Canis lupus familiaris: one gene and its partner. The protein of the gene in region 1 interacts with the protein of each later gene in a biochemical or structural test. Links are inferred from orthologs where the notes say so. Each region holds a gene or a part of one and is shown on either strand. Other genes may lie near its edges.

Region 1 (3,806 bases):
AGAAGGCCAGAGCGTATAAGATGCATCCAAATTTCAGGGATGTTAAAATGTGTGTGTGCTTTTTTTAAAAAAAGATCTTAAAGTGGGTAAACAAATATTTTCCTAAGAATAATGGAGTTTCTCTTTATCCACTGGCCCTAAGCTGAATTAACAGACCCATTACAGCTGTGTCATGCCACCTCTAGATTGGTTGTGGCAGCTACTCAGGTGTGGTGAAGGCCTTCAGTTGAGGCCTCGTGGAAGAGAGGGCTATGACCGTGGGGAGGTACAGGAACAAGAGATGGGAGCGTGGCATACCACTCACTTGGCCCTCAGTTGGGCAAAGCATAAGCTCCCACCTCCCTGGCATCTGATGTACCTGACCATGCACAGCCCTACCTGGTGCCTAGGGGCCCCACTGAGGAAGCTGGCCTGTGAGCACAGACTGCTAGAGTGCTGTGTGGTCTGAGCCACCTCTGGGTGTCCCTGGAGTGGCCTGTATCAGCCAGGCCTATTCTATCCAGGAGAGGCTGGGGCCCCTGGTGTTGAGGGACAAGGTCACTCTCAAGGTGACTTGTCCTTATCTGGGGGCAGAATCTCTTAAGCCTTACTGTGCATCCAGACAGTACATGCGTTGCTTGGCAAAGGATTATGTCCAGAGTTTGGAGAAACCATGTGTATAATAACCTAAGTAGTAGAATCTTGGGAGCGATCTATTTCTGGTAGTTAAGTCCTCCATATTTAAGCCAGAGGCCTTTCTCTTAAGCTGGTCTGGACCCCTGTTTTTCTGGGATAGCCTCTCTGGCACACTCTTGAGCAAGAGAGCAGCAGACCACATTGATGCCAGGGGCCTGCTTCCTGCTCTGTCTGTTGTCTGGGGCATGAACTTCAGCCCAGTCTTGGGACCAAGGGGTAAAGATCCACCATGAGCCCAGAATGTTAAGAGTTGCACAAGTCAGGCCTAAGCAGAGGGAAAGGAGGACCTCCTTCCTTCATCTACTTCCAGTAGAGCCCCAGGGCAAGATGAGAATGGGGCCCTCAGATGAGCCAGCAAGGGAGGATTCTTCTAGCTCTGCTGGACTGAAGTTCACTGCCCATGGAGCCCAGGCCTAGGTCCCTTGGTCTGAGGGGCTGGCATAGGTGCTGGGGTGTGGACCCCTTGTGACTGGTTGGTCTTTGTGGAAGCCAGCACATATACAGCTTCTGGGACCATGTGGTCTTGCTGGCCTGCTCCCCCACCCCGTGGACTCCCCTTCCCAGCTCACCACTTGTCTCTGCTCCAGCAGCTGTGGCTGGGCGTGGCTGCCAATTCAGCAAGTGGAGCTGTGAGTGACAGGCTAAAATTAGGTGTATCTACACCCCCAGTCCTCCTTTCATTGGGGTTGTTCTAACCCTTCTAGACTTCGGGTTGACAGTCACCTGCCAAGCTTGAGGAGGGGGTGTGGGGCGGGGGCCTCCTGGGAATGTGAGTTTGGAAGTTCTTCATTGTTGACTGCTCTTAGCTGGCCTCTGTGTGTCTGTGCATGCTGCTTCCACCCCTGCAGGCTCGGACGGGAACAGCATGGATTCAGTGGATGGCTGCTGTGGCCCCAGGAAGACTGACAGTTTCCAGAATGCCCAAGCAGCCTCTAGTCCTAAGAAGGTCGACCTCATCATCTGGGAGATTGAAGTGCCAAAGGTAAGGGCTGCAAGCTCCACACTCCTACAGGCCCAGGGTCATCGAACTTAAGGGAGAGGGAGACAGTAAACCTGAAGCTGCCCCCCGAGTGAGCCAGAGGCTGAAGGGAGCAGGAGTGTCACACCCTGCCAGGGCCCACAGAGCTTCCTGCCAAGTGGAGTTCCCTCAGCTGCCTTCAGGAGGGACCTGTTCTCGTCTCCTTCAAACTCACACACAGGCTACTTACGCTCTCCCTGGGGCTTCCTCCTGTGTGCTGGGGCTCAGATCTGTTTGGAGATGCTAGCAAAAACCAGCCTGAGGACGTGAGCTAGGCGGGAGTCCCTTCACGGTGCTCTGCTCAAAGCTCTCCAGTGCAAAGTATATTTGATAATTGAGCACAGCATAAATCCATATTTCAGAGAGCTTGAAAAGTATAGAAACATATGAGGAAAATAACAAGCTGCTCTAATCTTACCCCCGGGAGTGGCTGTGAAGACTTGTGTTTCCTTCTCGTCTTGCACCCTGTGGTTTTTAAACAAAACTGAGATTATGTTGCTTTAATTAATGCTTTTAAATATTTAACAATTTAATTTTCCTGCGTTATTCTTTTGAAAATATAATTTTAACTGCATTATTCATTGTAGGAATGTCAGTTTACTTCACCAGTCCCCAAATCCAGGGTACCAAAGTGTTTTCGAGCTTCTTGCTATTCTAACTTAAAATTTATTAGCTCGATCTTGATGTTTATCACGGGGGCTCAGAAATAATTGGCCAACTGAATTCTCCCAGGAACTTAGCTCCCTACCGCCGCCATGGAGACTTGGCTTGGTTTGAACTCTAGGTCAGGCAGGCTGCTTTGACCCCAGGGTGCTGACTCCCTTGGTGGTTCCCCCCTTGCCCTGTGACCCTGATAGCAGTTGTGCCTCCTCCTCCCTTAGTGGTTGCAAAGGGCACACCCAGACATCTCTAGGTACAGGGCGACCATGTCCCTGGTAGCTCTGCTGGTGTACGGTTGTGTGGGATTGTCTCAGAGCTCGCCTTACATCATGGCTAAGTTGGGCTTCTTCTGTCTGCCTTGAGCTCTTGGCACGCTGGGCACTTCTACAAGCCTCGTGCTCTGAAGGCTCCGGCCCGCTATCAATTGGCAGCAGAAGCCCAAGGGTTCTTTCTTCAACTTTTATTTTCAAATGGAGCCTTTTTATCTTTGAACCCGGATAGACTTGAAGAGGTCGGAGGAGTCGTAAATCGACCCTTGTGCTGTGGTGGAACCTCTCCTAGTGTAGATTTGGGAGGAGAAGATGCTGGCTTTGCAGCCTTCTGGATGTGGGCCCCGTTGTCGGGGAAGAAATGGGAACTGCTGAGTCCTGGAGCCAGCCAGACTGTGTAGTTCAGCCATTTAGCAGTGTGATATTGGGTGAGTTACTTAGCCTCTTTGAGCTTGTTAACCTCATCTGTAAAATGGTGATAAAGGTATCTGTCATAGCTAAGTGCTCGGAACAGTGCCTGGCAAATGAGTGCTGATATGTTCACAGTTAATGATATATTTGAGCTTCACTTTGTGTAAAACAAAGGTAAGTCTTTGGGAACGTAGGGAATTGGTTTCCTATTAACACCCCAATCGTCTCTTTCTCTTTCAGCACTTAGTTGGTCGGCTAATTGGCAAGCAGGGGCGGTATGTGAGCTTTCTGAAGCAAACGTCTGGTGCCAAGATCTACATCTCCACCCTGCCTTACACCCAGAACATCCAGATCTGCCACATAGAAGGTCAGTGGCAGCTGTCCGCTTGGGTTTTGTTGTCTTCCCTGAAATGTAAGGCATTTGAATCTCAGTTATTCCCTTTTTGGAATCTAAGTCTTTGAATAGAAACCCCTGCTCATCCCAGGTGAAGGGAACATGGTGGTGATGGTGGGGGGTCTTCCTTTAGCCCTCCTCTCCAGTTCAGCTACTTGAAGGAGCCTCCTCTCCCTCCCCCAGATCTTGTGGCCAGGAGAGGTGTGGGCACTCACATGGGCAGGCTGGGGTGGCCTGGATTTATGGTGCCCGCTGCCTCACACAATTCCTTCACAGAGCAGAACATGATTCCCCTCCGGTTGGTGAGGGCTGGACCTTTCCCATCAGCTAGCCTCCTATTGCATTCAAAGCATGGACACAACAGCAGTGGTATCACTTG
Region 2 (4,414 bases), on another chromosome or scaffold:
CTCAGACAAAAATCTCTCTAAACCAGTGGTTAAATTTTTTGTGCATGGAACCCTTTGAAAAATGACAAAAGCCAAAAATTTAACTACACACACAAAAAAATGTGCATCTCTAGACTCCAAGAACTGCTGTAAAACTTACACGTTTCCTTTTTTATTTTTTTAGTTTTAATAATTCATCAAAATAATACACAGTATGAAAAAGTCAAATGACAATCAATGACTTTTAACAACCTGGACTGAGTTCTGATAGTTACTCTTCTAAATGTATTACAACCTGGTTTTTTAAGAATCTGGTATGTTTACATCACCAGCCCCCTCTCCCTTCAATATGTTTTTCTTTAAATTACATACTCAAGCCTGTTTCTTCTTCCACTAATTTCTACTAATCTCTGCCAACTAACTCTATAAGACATGAATAACTCTAAGCCTTTCTACCTCTTCCGCACCCCATTTCTTTCAGCTTCTAAATTTCTGTCAGTGCTACCATGAGGTTGATAGTTACAGAACACAATGTAAATGTCAAGCTTCCTGTGCTTTTCTATAGATGAAATATACTTCCTTTTAATCAGACAAGAACTTGATAGCTGGTGTTTCCCTTTTTGCCTTAGAGGTGGGATTTTTTAGAGGTTAGTATGGTACTCAACTCAAATGCCTTTTTCCAAATGACTTCTCTTTATCTTTAGCCATCCTTATAGTGTTTTAATGTTAGAAGCAGTTTCAGATCCTCTTAGAAATAAGCTTTATTAAAATCATAAATTAAATTTGTGGAAAGTACCCACGTTTGGAGCTGAAAAATCAAATTTTAAATAGGTCACATCAGTAGACACTATGTTATCTGATATTGAGGAGACTGGAAGTCTACAGAGGTGGAGGAGTTAGATGCCAATAGATGTGACCAAGAGAAAAGAAGCCTTCAGTGGTTTCCAATCTCATGAGGGAAGATCCATGTATGGCCACAAGGCTGTTACCCCCTGCCAAGGTCACTTCTCTGCCTTCTAACTTTCTGTCTTTAATTTCATGCAGTCACCCTGGCCTCCTTGCACTTCCTGGAACTCTTGACATCACATTTCATTCAGATCTCTGCTCAAATGTTACTTAAAAGAAACCTTCCCCCACCACCTCTTGCTCTTTATCCCCCTTTGCTGTATTTTCATTCATAACAATTCCCACTGGCTGGCACTACTTATTTATCTGTCTCCACCAACTAGAAGAAGCTTATTTGGAGCAGGGTCTTTCTTTTTTCTTTCCCCACTGATGTATCCCCAGTGCCTAGAACAGAGACCTGAATAAAACGGTTTAATAAATGAAAGAAAAGAACTCATGGAGTTTTTTTAAGGTTGGGGGTTGGGGGGTCGGTATTGAAATTCCAAGTTTCTGTGACATTTCAAGAGAGGACAGAGCACAGCACTTTCATAGAGTACTCCTGTAATGTTTGCTGAAATTTAATTGTATTAATTTAATTGTATTTAATTTAATTGCAGATAGAAGGAAACTAGTACCCAAACCTAAGGTAGGTAGCAATTCAAAATTATCAGCCCAGGTATGGGAATTAAAAGCCCTGCTTTGTGCTAAGGTCCAGTTGTTACTCTCCCAGAATTTTCTCCTAATAGGCTTTGCTTCTGGCCAAAGAGCAGTTACCAAATCATCTCCCAGACGCTTCTCGTGTGGACCCAGTCATCATCCTGGACAGCTTTTCTGTTCTATACCCTTGAAAGTTCTAGCCAGTGAGTTGAACGATACATAGCAGGCATTCACATTATTGCTGAGCTAATAAGCAGTAGCCCAACTGTCTCCTGGAACGCTGCAGTTTCAAGCTCCTTCCTCATCTCAGGTCTCGAACACACGCACACACAGACACCCCCCCCCTCCCCAGAAAGAGATACAGTGTCACAGCTTCCATCTTAAGTGTAAACAATATAACCATTTTCATGTGCCCTCAAGCTCTTTAAACTCTAATTCTACTTCGGAAATCTGCACAGGGCAGGAACTGGCATCGCCTACGAAAGCGGGGCTGTAAAACCACAGTCAAACTGATTCTTAATCGCCTATTTGGGGGATTCGGTTCACTTGGTTATTTTTATCCGCCAACTTTGGAAATCCGGTCATTTTCCCCCTTGCCCTTTGTCCGGGGGGAAACATGCTGCTTTACCTAATTTTGACTCCGCAAAAAGTGTCAGGAGGGAGGGATTGGGATCTCAGGGTCTTTAGCAAACATGCCTTCTGCGGCCGCTGGAGGCAAAGCAACGGAAGTTGGAGGGACTTTGCAACAGCTGCAAGAGTTCCACTCCCCGCCCGGAGAGCGCGGCAGCCCGGCGCGGGCGGCGTCCCCGCCGAGCCCCGGGCCCACCTGGCAGGGCCCACCTGGCAGGCCCCACCTGCTGCCCCTCCCGCCCCCGCCCCCGCCCCGCGCCTCGGCCCGGCAGGGGCGCAGCGCCGAGGAGCACGACGTGGACACGAGGAGCCCCCTCCCGGCGCATGCTCACCCTTGGTCAGCGTGTCCAGCACCCCCGACTTCTCCAAGTACCTCCGGAACTGCTCGCGCTTCGAGTCGGCGGCCTGAGGAGACACGGCGGGTCAGCGGCCGAAGCGCAGGGGCCGGAGCAGGAAGAAGGCGCTGGGAGTCCGGCAGCCCCGCCTCCGCCTCCGCCTCGCTACTCGGGCCCCCCAAACCTGCGCGCGCGCCCCCACGCCCTCCCGGAGCCGACCAGCGGCTGGCTCCCGCCCGCACGCCCCCAGCCACGCCGCGCCCCCCTCACTTTGTAATGGGCCATAGTGACAGCGGCAGCGGCGTAGCTGGCGCCCGAGACCGTGGCTGGCGGGCTCCGAGCCGCACTGCTCATGCGCCGCAGGGCGCGCGCGCCTGCGCACTTGCGAACCGCGGTCGGCGAGCGCGGGGGCGTGGCCTGTTTTCATGACGACGGGGACGCTGCGAGGGCCCCGCGGCAGGCCGGGCCGAGGGAGGCTGCGCGCGCCTGCCTCCTGCTCCCGGGGCCGCGCCTCGCCTTCCTCTTCCGGTCCCTGCGGCGGTTCGGTTGCTCAGCGAGAGGCGAGGTCGAGGGGACTCGGGACGGGCGTCCAGGTGGGGCCGGAGGGGGCGGGGCGCCCGGGGGCGGGGCCTGCGGGGGCCGGAGCGCGGCGGGATGCGCGGGCGCGGGGCTGGGCGCACCTGCCTCCCCCGGGACCTCGGTAGCGGCGCTAGCCCACCTGGACGCGCCGGCTTCCTGGCGCTCCTCCCGGAAAGGGGCGCGCGACCCGCCGCCGGTCGACCGAGCGCTTGGAATCGTTATGTTTCAGCTCCAGCTGTTTACTTTCAGAGTTTGTTTTGTGGCCGGCGTGATTGAGAAGGGCCCCTGGAGGGTGAGCAGTGACGTCGTACTGGGTGCCGGTGTTAAACAGGTTTCTTCTTTTCATTCTCCTGCAAGGTAGGCGCTGGTGAGTGAAGTGGTTAGAGGAACCAGGGAGTGTGGAGCTACGCCCGCCAACCTGGGCAATGAATCACGATGCTCTGAAGCCACCGATCTTTTTTAAGATTTTATTTACTAGATAGCAACGTCATCGTTACACTCAAGAGGCAGCAAGTTGCAGTCTATAAGGAAACTAAATTAAGTCCCATTGACAAACAATTTAACCATCGTCCAGAAACAAAAGATTCGCAACCAAAAGGGAGGATGATGTAGATCCAGAACCATCTCCCAAGGTTCCTTCAGGGAAAAACTTCCTTCAAGGAAAAACCTGGTTCCAAACCGTGAAGCCTCAGTTCTGAATTTGTGACTTGGCAAGAATCAGTTTTCATGGATTCTGAAGGGAGCCTGTAAAGCAGTAACCCCGAGTTGGTAACTATGGCTTTGAATTTAAAACTGCCCCTTCGCCATTCAGAATGGATGCGTGTGTTTTTCTTTTTGAGATGGGTTTGCAATGGTCTGTCGGAACAGCTGGTCTTTAGAGCTGCCCTTACCTGTGCTCCACCACCACTAGGCTACCTCTGTGATAACAATATGCAGAAAGTCTAGGAGCCCACAGCTGCTCAGATCTGAAGGTCTGTGGGAGCCCGCCTGCCAGTGAGGTGGTTTGTCAGCAACACTAAATGATTTGGAGGACAAGCAGTAGGATTATTGCAGCCTCTGACCAAATCAGAATCGAAGGTCAACTGTCCCAAAGAATCAGGAGTGTCTGAAATGTCAGGTGCTTGGCAGTCTCCCTGCGAAGGGGGAAGGGTTCTAATCGTGCCCTCTCTGCACTGACCCTTGAGGTTTCCTTTAGGGGGTGACCCCTGATTTTCCTCTTCTGGAGAGGGACCCCATGTCGTGCTAAGCCACGACTGTTCCCAAGCACCCTGAGCAGGCGGAGGGAACGCTGTTTGGGATGACTGCCCCATGTGATTATCCAGTTCTATAGCAACACCTGGAATAGAACA

The links.
Region 2: the proteins of AKAP1 (region 1) and MYCBP form a complex in vitro, tested with the Homo sapiens proteins (2 studies listed by BioGRID). The link is inferred for Canis lupus familiaris from reciprocal best matches to the Homo sapiens genes AKAP1 and MYCBP.

Annotation. Positions count from the first base shown.
Region 1 is NC_049230.1:31,854,155-31,857,960, forward strand, and holds part of AKAP1 (A-kinase anchor protein 1, mitochondrial), read left to right. Parts: intron 1-1,523; coding exon 1,524-1,657; intron 1,658-3,273; coding exon 3,274-3,400; intron 3,401-3,703; coding exon of another isoform or gene 3,704-3,806.
Region 2 is NC_049236.1:3,935,616-3,940,029, reverse strand, and holds the start of MYCBP (C-Myc-binding protein), read right to left. Parts: upstream 2,814-4,414; 5' UTR 2,772-2,813; coding exon 2,757-2,771; intron 2,557-2,756; coding exon 2,484-2,556; intron 1-2,483. Other genes in the region: GJA9 (gap junction alpha-9 protein), read right to left, coding at 4,025-4,414. UniProt on the Homo sapiens protein: May control the transcriptional activity of MYC. Stimulates the activation of E box-dependent transcription by MYC.